Linked DNA regions of Caenorhabditis elegans. The protein of the gene in region 2 binds, or shares a complex with, the protein of the main gene of each other region. Each region holds a gene or a part of one and is shown on either strand. Other genes may lie near its edges. A codon is read from its position in the direction of its gene.

Region 1 (4,576 bases), on a different chromosome or scaffold from region 2:
CAGTGGCATCCACAAAGTCTTTTGTGGATTTTTTGCACATTAGCCGGCACACAAAACGGACGGATTTTGGGCCATCTGGGTCGTGCATAGCTAGGAATTTCATGCATCTGACGCTATTTTTGATGGTCTCGTCGAGAATTCGGATTGCGGTTACGGTAACCTCCTCGTTTTCCGATGCGTCGTTGATTAGGTTCAGGACGAATGGAACAAGTGCGCCCTGGAAATATGGAAAAATTAGAATTTTTTTTTTGGGTATTTTTGCAGGAAAATATTCAAATTCGGGATACTTTGATAAAATTAAAATTTTGAAAAATAATTTTTTTTAAACTGATTTTTTAAAAGCTAAAAAGTTGAATTTTCAAATGTTTCTACAAAATCGGAAAATTGGCAAAAATTAAGGTTTTCTCGTTGTAGCAAAATAAATTTTAAAAATCTACAAAAAATTACAATTTTCAGTTTAAAAAAATTTCTTTAAAAAAATTAAAATTGAACTTTCGACAATTAAATTTAAGGAATATCGGAAAAATTTAGATAAAAACTGCAAAATTTTTCGAAAAACAATCTGAAAATTGCTCTGAAAATCTAGAAAATTCAGTTTTTTTTTGCATTTTTTTTTCAAATATACGGTATATTTTTCAATTTATTTCCATTTTTTAAATTTTTTTTTAAGTTCCATTAAATTTTCCCAGTAAATGTAGATTTTTCGTCCAGCTTCCAAAACTATACCTGATTCCAAACTCCTGTTGCTCCGGATTCAGATTCTCTGCACAAAACCAACAAGTTGTTCAACGCAGTCATTTTCTGTTCGGTGTCCTTCGCCTCACCACGGAACGCTAGCTTTTCCATGTCAGTTACCTGAGAAAATTTCGGGGTTTTTCAATGAAAATTCATTTAAAATTCGTGGTTTCAGGTCACAAAACCAACCTTATTAGCCAGTGAAGTGGTCTGCTTAATCTTATCATTGTTGGCTTTTACGAGACGCTGAAGAACTTCAACAATTCCTCTGAAAAATAGAAATTTGAGTGAAATTATTGAATTTTTAAGTGCTTAAAAGTGGAATTGTGAGAAAATCTTGGGTCTGCTAAATATTTAGCATACCCAACTTTGGTCTGCTAAATATTTAGCATACCCATCTTTGGTCTGCTAAATATTTAGCATACCTATCTTTGGTCTGCTAAATATTTTTCTTTGGGTCTGCTAAATATTTAGCATACCCAACTTTGGTCTGCTAATTATTTAGCATACCCATCTTTGGTCTGCTAAATATTTAGCATATCCATCTTTGGTCTGCTAAATATTTAGCATACCTATCTTTGGTCTGCTAAATATTTTTCTTTGGGTCTGCTAATTATTTAGCATACCCATCTTTGGTCTGCTAAATATTTAGCATATCCATCTTTGGTCTGCTAAATATTTAGCATACCTATCTTTGGTCTGCTAAATATTTTTCCTTGGGTCTGCTAAATGTTTAGCATACCTATCTTTGGTCTGCTAAATATTTTTCCTTGGGTCTGCTAAATATTTAGCATACCCATCTTTGGTCTGCTAAATATTTTTCCTTGGGTCTGCTAAATATTTAGCATACCCAACTTTGGTCTGCTAATTATTTAGCATACCCATCTTTGGTCTGCTAAATATTTAGCATACCCAACTTTGGTCTGCTAAATATTTAGCATACCCAACTTTGGTCTGCTAATTATTTAGCATACCCAACTTTGGTCTGCTAAATATTTTTCTTTGGGTCTGCTAATTATTTAGCATACCCATCTTTGGTCTGCTAATTATTTAGCATACCCATCTTTGGTCTGCTAAATATTTAGCATATCCATCTTTGGTCTGCTAAATATTTAGCATACCTATCTTTGGTCTGCTAAATATTTTTCCTTGGGTCTGCTAAATATTTAGCATACCCACCTTGGGTCTGCTAAATATTTAGCATACCCTTCTTTGGTCTGCTAAATATTTAGCATACCTATCTTTGGTCTGCTAAGTATTTAGCATACCTATCTTTGGTCTGCTAAATATTTTTCCTTGGGTCTGCTAAATATTTAGCATACCCAACCTCCTCAAATTTTGAAAAAAAAATTTTTTCGCTGATTTTTTAGCTGCAAATTTGAAATTTCCTACGTTTTTCTTCAAGATAAATTTTTAAACATGTTTTAGTGGATTTTTCAGTTTCATTTTGCATATTTTTTCACAGAAAAAAGTGAGAAAATTACAAATTTAAAACTAAATATTTAGAAAATTTATAAATGTTGGCATTTTAAACAAAAATTGTGAGTTTCTGTAGATTTTTAAAAGTTATTTTGCTATTTTCGATGAGAAAACCTTGATTTTTGTCAATTTTTCTATTGGCATGCTATATTTCGGAGAGAAACGTCTGAAAATTCTAATAATTTTTAGCTTTAAAAATCAGTTTCGGGAGGTTGGGTCTGCTAAATATTTAGCAGACCCAAAATTTGCAACTTTTGCATTTTTCACTGAAATTTGGTCATAAAAACTTTGAAATATAACTGGAAAGTGCCAGAAAAAATTATTTTTCTTTTAATTTTCATCGGTTTTCGCCTAGTTTTTCCACGCACTTATCATTTGGCGAGAGCCTCAGAGCCTCTTTTGCGTCTTGAAAAGCTGGCCCAACATTTCCAAGCTGTTCACGAGCCAGCGATCGTCTGAAGAGAGCTTTTACATCGGCCCCGTCGAATTCCAGAGCTGTAAATTTAGGTTTTTCAGCAAATTTTCCAGGTTTTTTGTAAACCTTTCGTGCAATCCGATTGTGCTCCTTCAAAATCGTCTCTTTTCAGCCGAGCCATTGCTCGATTTCTGTACAAAACCGGCCGAAGAGCCTTGTCTTCGTCAGTGGTGAGTTGGAGAGCTTCAGTGTATCTGGAAATCAGTTTAATTTCAGTTTTCCACTGAAATTTCAGAAAAACCAACAATTCATCAGCTTTTATATAATCCTGATCCTTAACTGCAGCATTTCCCTCGTCGCGGATCTCCTCCGCAGTCTGTACTCGAGCAACCATTGCTGAAAACCAAAAAAAAAAAACTATAAAATCATTATTTTTGTCAGGAGATACTATTAATTCGACGGATAAAAGAGGAAAAATCGACAAAAATGGTGTAAAACTGATTAAAATATCATTTTTGAAACTAATTTTCAAGAAAAATGCACTTAAAAGCTGTTTTTATTGAGTTTTAGAGTAATTTTCCCGAAAAGTTTCCCGCAAAAAAAAATTAACAAAAAAGGAAAAATGCAAGCGCGCTCCACCGGCACGTGTTAGAGAGTGTGAAGCGCAGACTATTTTTTGGAGGGATTTCAAATTTAATTTTTATGAAAACTTTGATTTTAAAGCTAAAACTAACGAATTTTGGAGATGTATAACATCCTAAAATTGACTTTCTTTTCTTTTTTTTTGAAATAAAAATTTTCACTGCAAGAAAATTTGTTAATGTCCTGGAAAAATGAATGAAGAATAACGGTAAAAAATCCAGTTGCCGCGGGAGCTCCGCCCAGGTGCTCTGGAGCTTTCGAAAAGCTCCCAGGCGGGAGAGATATCCTAGGGAATAGAAGAGAAATAGAGATAACGAGTGGGAAAAGTTCGGGAAAAGTCGAAAATATGTGGGGTTTCTGGAAAAATCCGAATTTATATAGTAAAAAAAATATATTTTTAGGTTTTTTTCAGGGGATTAGAGGATTTCAGAGAAAAAACGGAATTTGAGTGGATTTAAACAAAGGAAATCATCATTTCAGGATAAACTCAATATCCCAAATGGGTCTGCTAAATATTTAGCAGACCAAAGTTGGGTATGCTAAATATTTAGCAGACCAAAGTTGGGTATGCTAAATATTTAGCAGACCAAAGTTGGGTATGATAAATATTTAGCAGACCCATAAAACATCGTTTCAGATTTTCGTCATGAAAATAATTATATGGGCAACCACAAGGAAAATTTTTTCTCAAAAACTACGGCACTCGGATTTCTCAAAAACTACGGCACGAACCGATAAATTTTCTTGAAATCAGAAAAACGTGTGCCTTTAAGGAGTACTGTAGTCGTCAACTCCTTCAAAATTTCTGGTATATTTAAATATATTTTTTCACGTGGAATACTAGAGTTTCTAAATAAATATGTACTGCCGTGAGGCTCTAGTGCTATACCCGGCGGCTATGGGTCGGCTGAAATATTTCTGGAATTTTTGATATTTTTTTTTCGGAAAAAATCAAAATAAAAATTTCATAGTATTTACATTAAAATAAATTATATAAATTCAAAAAAAGGACCTAAAATTCATAAAAAACCTAGAAATTCTTAGGTTTACTAAACCCACTAAACCCGAACTTTATGCAAAAATCGATGAAAAACGAATAGAAACGTCTGTTCAGCGGAAAGGGCAGTGTAGTAGTGTCCGGCCCCCGACGGATAGTGTAAAATTACGGCGGAATCCGCAGATCCTCTCCGGTGGTGGGAGCCCTTGCTGTTTGAATAATCTGTCTGCGTCTCTCTTCAGATCTTATAACTTTTTGTGTGCATGCACTGTGAGCAAATCATGTGAAGATTTCCTATAACTTGAGAC
Region 2 (4,624 bases):
TTCTCAAGGGCAGTTGGAAAGAGTTGGCATGGTAACGGATGTCAATTTGAGCACGCATCAACAGATTTGCGTGCGCGGAAAGCGGATTTTTCAAGAGAATAAGCATATGTTCATAAAACGATTATCGAAAAATTTTTATTTTTAGAAATAAAATGAGAGATTAGACAGCAAGGTTTGGTGGGATTGGAACAATTTCATCTTCATCTTCTTCTTCCGGATTCCACCAACGAACATCCAACTTGCGTCCTTCGAAATCTTCATTGACAGGATCCCAGAGGTTATAATTGAAATTTGGACGTGGAGGTGGATTGAATGGCTTTTCCTGAAACATGAAAAGATATTAAACTCATCTCCAACTCATGTATAAACCGGTTCTGGAATGATGCAGCAAACAGCACTGGCCAAGATCAGGAAACATGCCAACTCGAATAAGATTGCAATCATGTTTCGTATAAACTAAAACTGTTTAATTTCCCTCGAGTATCTAAACTGTTCAAATGTGCTTCTTCAAAAGTTCACGTTTGCAAAAAAAAACATTGATGAAATTAATTACGGAACTTTATTTGGGTTCGATAGACAGGAAAACAATGAATAAAACTGTGGAGGGGCTTTTGGGGAGATCTTCTCGTAACAAATGATAAATTAAATAGGATGTTTAGTCGACCTCCTCCATGCGGGAAGCATCCTCCTCAGCTCCCTCAATCTTGGCCTCAGCGGTGCACGATGATGGAACAGCAGAATCTTCAATTTCGTCATCTCCGATATCGAGACCAAGCTTGATCATTCTGTAGATGCGGGAAGCGTGAGATTGTGGCTCCTCAAGGGAGAATCCGGAAGCGAGAAGAGCAGTCTCGAAAAGAAGAACAACCAAATCCTTAACGGTCTTGTCATTCTTATCGACCTCGACACGATCACGAAGTGTCCTGAAATAGCAAAAACGTTTGTGAATGTTCATTTTAAAATAGTTTTTGGGTAACTTACTTCATGATAGCGTGGTCTGGGTTGATTTCGAGATGCTTCTTGGCGGCCATGTATCCCATAGTAGAGGAATCACGAAGAGCTTGAGCTTTCATGATGCGCTCCATGTTAGCGGACCATCCGTACTCGGAAGTGACAATGCAGCATGGGGAAGAGACAAGACGGTTAGAAACTCCAACCTTCTCAACCTTCTTCTCCAAAATGTCCTTGATGACCTTGCAAAGGTTTTCGTAGGCAACCTTGTCCTCTTCGAACTTCTTCTTCTCCTCCTCGGTTTCTGGGAGCTCGAGTCCTTCCTTGGTGACGGAGACAAGCTTCTTTCCATCATACTCCTTGAGTTGTTGGACGCAGTACTCATCAATTGGGTCGCACATGTAGAGGACTTCGAATCCGCGGCTCTTAACACGCTCGACGAAAGCTGAAGCAGCAACAACATCCTTGGACTCTCCGGTGATGTAGTAGATTTGAGTTTGGTTCTCCTTCATGCGGGAAACGTATTCCTTGAGGGAAGTTGGCTCATCTCCAGCGGAGGTAGAGTAGCGAAGGAAATCGGAAAGCTTCTTGCGGTTAGTAGAGTCCTCGTGGATTCCGAGCTTGAGATTCTTTCCGAATTGCTCGTAGAACTTCTTGAAGTTGTCTTTGTCCTCGGCAACCTCGTCGATAAGCTCCATGCACTTCTTGACAAGATTCTTACGGATGACCTTCAAGATCTTGGATTGCTGGAGCATTTCACGAGAGATGTTAAGTGGAAGATCCTCAGAATCGACGACTCCCTTGATGAAGTTAAGGTATTCTGGCATGAGCTCTTCGCAGTTCTCCATGATGAAGACACGACGAACGTAGAGCTTGATGGAGTTCTTGCTCTTCTTGTTCTCGAAGAGATCAAATGGAGCTCTTTGTGGGACGAAGAGAAGAGCACGGAATTCAAGTTGTCCCTCAACGGAGAAATGCTTGACGGCAAGATGATCTTCCCAGTCATTGGACAAGCTCTGAAATTAATGGAATTATTGCCATAAAATAATTAAAACTAAAAATACCTTGTAGAACTCAGCATATTCTTCGTTGGAGATATCGTCTGGGTTTCTGGTCCAGATTGGCTTGGTCTTGTTAAGCTCTTCGTCTTCGAAGTACTTCTCCTTGATTTTCTTGGTCTTCTTCTTGTCAGCGTCGTCAGCGACGTTCTCGACCTCTCCCTCCTTCTTCTCCTCATCCTTAGCCTCGACAGCCTCCTCATCTTCAACCTCCTTCTCACGCTCCTTCTCAACCACAAGCTTGATTGGGTATCCGATGAACTGAGAATGCTTCTTAACGATCTCCTTGATCTTGCGCTCCTCGAGGAAGTCAATCTGATCCTCCTTGATGTGCATGACAATCTTCGTTCCACGGGTGACCTCTGGGTCATTGAATGGACGAACGACGAAAGAACCTCCTGCGGAAGACTCCCATTGATAGCTGTCATCATCGTTGTTCTTGGATGTGACGACAACCTTATCGGCGACAAGGAAAGCAGAGTAGAATCCGACTCCGAACTGACCAATCATGGAAATATCAGCTCCAGCTTGAAGAGCCTCCATGAAGGCCTTGGTTCCAGACTTGGCAATGGTTCCAAGGTTGTTGACAAGATCGGCCTTGGTCATTCCGATTCCGGTATCCATAATGGTAAGGGTCTTTTCCTCCTTGTTTGGAGTAATTTTGATGAACAATTCCTTTCCAGTGTCAAGCTCGGATGGCTCGGTGAGTGCCTAAAACCGATATTTTAAAAAATTGACTCAGAAGCGAAAAAACAAACCTGGTAGCGAATCTTGTCAAGAGCATCGGAGGCGTTTGAGATCAATTCACGCAAGTAGATTTCCTTGTTACTGTAGAAAGTGTTGATGATCAAGCTCATCAACTGAGCAATCTCAGCCTGGAATGCGAAGGTTTCGGCGTTCTCGGACATGGTTCTGGAAAAATATCAATTAACAATCGAGCAACAAAAACTGAATAGAACTTTATAACGATTCAATGAATGAAAGAGCACGCATGGCGAATGATTTCGAAACTAAAAACACATTATAACCTTATCTAGAAATGAACTAATTTTAGGCCTAAAACTATTGTTCAAAAACCTTTAAAAATCAAAAACAATGATCCGTGATTAACATAAAAGCCATATTAGTGAGAGGAAAACCAAAAATCTTCACCCGAAAACCGAAAGAACTGGGAATATCAGAGCTCTGAGGCGTAATTGAAGGTCTAAATTTTGAACAAGATGCGAAATGTTCTCGAAGGAGGGCGTGGCCTTTCAATTTGATTGGTTGGTTTTCAAATTGCCCTTTTCGGCGGAAAATTCTCGACGAAAATTGTCAATAGAGCGCGTTTTCAGCACCTGGCCGAAGTTTTGCAGAATAGGTAACTAGGCCACAAACATTTTCTTGTTTTTAGTTTGAATTGTTTTTTCTTCATTTTTTTCAGATTACTTCGTCGAAAAGACGTTTTTTTGGTATTTTTGCACCAAAAAAAAATCTAAAATTATTATTCTATATTAAATAAAATCCCGAAATAAACTATATGTCACTCTCAATATTGAACTCGTTGAAAAATATTGCTTTCATTGGTTTTTATTTTATTTTTGCAGTTAATAAAATGTCCCGCGCCGACGAAGGCCGCTTGATTCATTTGGCAAAGAAACGTGAGCGTGAAAAGGAAGATATCGAACAACAATTGCGAAAGCTTGAAGAAGACAAAGAAAAATGTATGGTGAAACCCCTTTTTAATTATTAAAACTACAAATTTTGCAGGCAGGGTCGGAATTACGAATAAATTCATGGCAAACTATGAAACAGTCGAAGAAGTCGTGAAGTCTAAAACCTATGGCTTGGTATCATTGGATGATATGAAAAATATTCAGAAAAACGAAATTTCAAACAGGTTCGATTTTCTACATTTTGGAGAGCCTCACAATAAAAATGTGTACCTTATAGAGATCTACAAGTGGCCCGGGGAGACCAATCATCTTCTACTCAATCTAAAGATTCACAAGAAGCTCGAGAAAAAGAAGAACACGTTGCAAAACATACCCAGGTAAATGTGAAGGATTGCTGTAGAAATTTGGTTGTAGGCTCTAGACTCGGGTAGCAGTTGTAGTTCAATTGACTAGAGATTTCTCGTCGAAAGAGTCTTTTATACCAGATTTCTAAAAATTTGAGAACTTTCGAGAAAGAAAAATTGAGGGCAGGTGAGAGTGTGAGGAAACGCAGATATAAAACATTTTTGTAGAACATTCGAGAAAAACTGTTTTAATATTGCTAATTTCAGAAGCGATTTTTATCGTTTGCATTTGATGACGAAGAGGACGAAGAAGATGCTGCACCAATTATCCCGAAAAAGGTAAGAATAATAATTAAAAAGAAAAAATTAAAGCGAAAAATGTTTGCAGCGCGTTGGAATGGACCCAACTGTCGACACAAGCTTCCTGCCTGATAAAGAACGAGAGGAGTTCTTGAGAAAGTGAGTTCTAGAAGAAAAAACAACGACATTTCAAATTTTGGCGGGTGTAGATCATCCCGGTGAACAAATAAATAAAAAATAATAAGTCTGGTTTCAGAAAGAAAGAATCATTGGCAGCCGAGTGGCGTGTGAAGCAAGATGCCGAGAAAAACGAGGA

What was found. The genes of interacting proteins can lie anywhere in the genome.
Region 1: the proteins of hsp-90 (region 2) and unc-45 are in contact, whole or in part, in a crystal structure (PDB 4I2Z), measured with the Caenorhabditis elegans proteins. Residues at the interface, in NP_506626.1 of Caenorhabditis elegans: Ser696 (codon at 679), Arg697 (codon at 676), Met698 (codon at 673), Glu699 (codon at 670), Glu700 (codon at 667), Val701 (codon at 664), Asp702 (codon at 661); in NP_497205.1 of Caenorhabditis elegans: Arg12 (codon at 2,990), Asn16 (codon at 2,978), Val19 (codon at 2,969), Tyr31 (codon at 2,882), Val48 (codon at 2,831), Arg51 (codon at 2,822), Asn52 (codon at 2,819), Met55 (codon at 2,810), Lys59 (codon at 2,798), Val81 (codon at 2,686), Lys82 (codon at 2,683), Phe85 (codon at 2,674), Arg86 (codon at 2,671), Asn113 (codon at 2,590), Asp114 (codon at 2,587), Ile117 (codon at 999).

The regions. Positions count from the first base shown.
Region 1 is NC_003281.10:489,996-494,571, reverse strand, and holds the start of unc-45 (UNC-45/Cro1/She4 central domain-containing protein), read right to left. Parts: upstream 3,026-4,576; 5' UTR 3,024-3,025; coding exon 2,935-3,023; intron 2,884-2,934; coding exon 2,756-2,883; intron 2,710-2,755; coding exon 2,583-2,709; intron 2,166-2,582; exon of another isoform or gene 1,737-2,165; intron 1,004-1,736; coding exon 925-1,003; intron 856-924; coding exon 727-855; intron 218-726; coding exon 1-217.
Region 2 is NC_003283.11:14,684,457-14,689,080, reverse strand, and holds hsp-90 (Heat shock protein 90), read right to left. Parts: upstream 2,922-4,624; 5' UTR 2,918-2,921; coding exon 2,768-2,917; intron 2,721-2,767; coding exon 2,016-2,720; intron 1,968-2,015; coding exon 982-1,967; intron 924-981; coding exon 656-923; 3' UTR 542-655; downstream 1-541. Other genes in the region: C47E8.11 (uncharacterized protein), read right to left, coding at 161-322, 370-444; C47E8.4 (Protein FAM50 homolog), read left to right, coding at 3,604-3,712, 3,759-3,888, 3,942-4,041, 4,276-4,347, 4,397-4,467, 4,565-4,624. UniProt on the Caenorhabditis elegans protein: Molecular chaperone that promotes the maturation, structural maintenance and proper regulation of specific target proteins involved for instance in cell cycle control and signal transduction. Undergoes a functional cycle that is linked to its ATPase activity.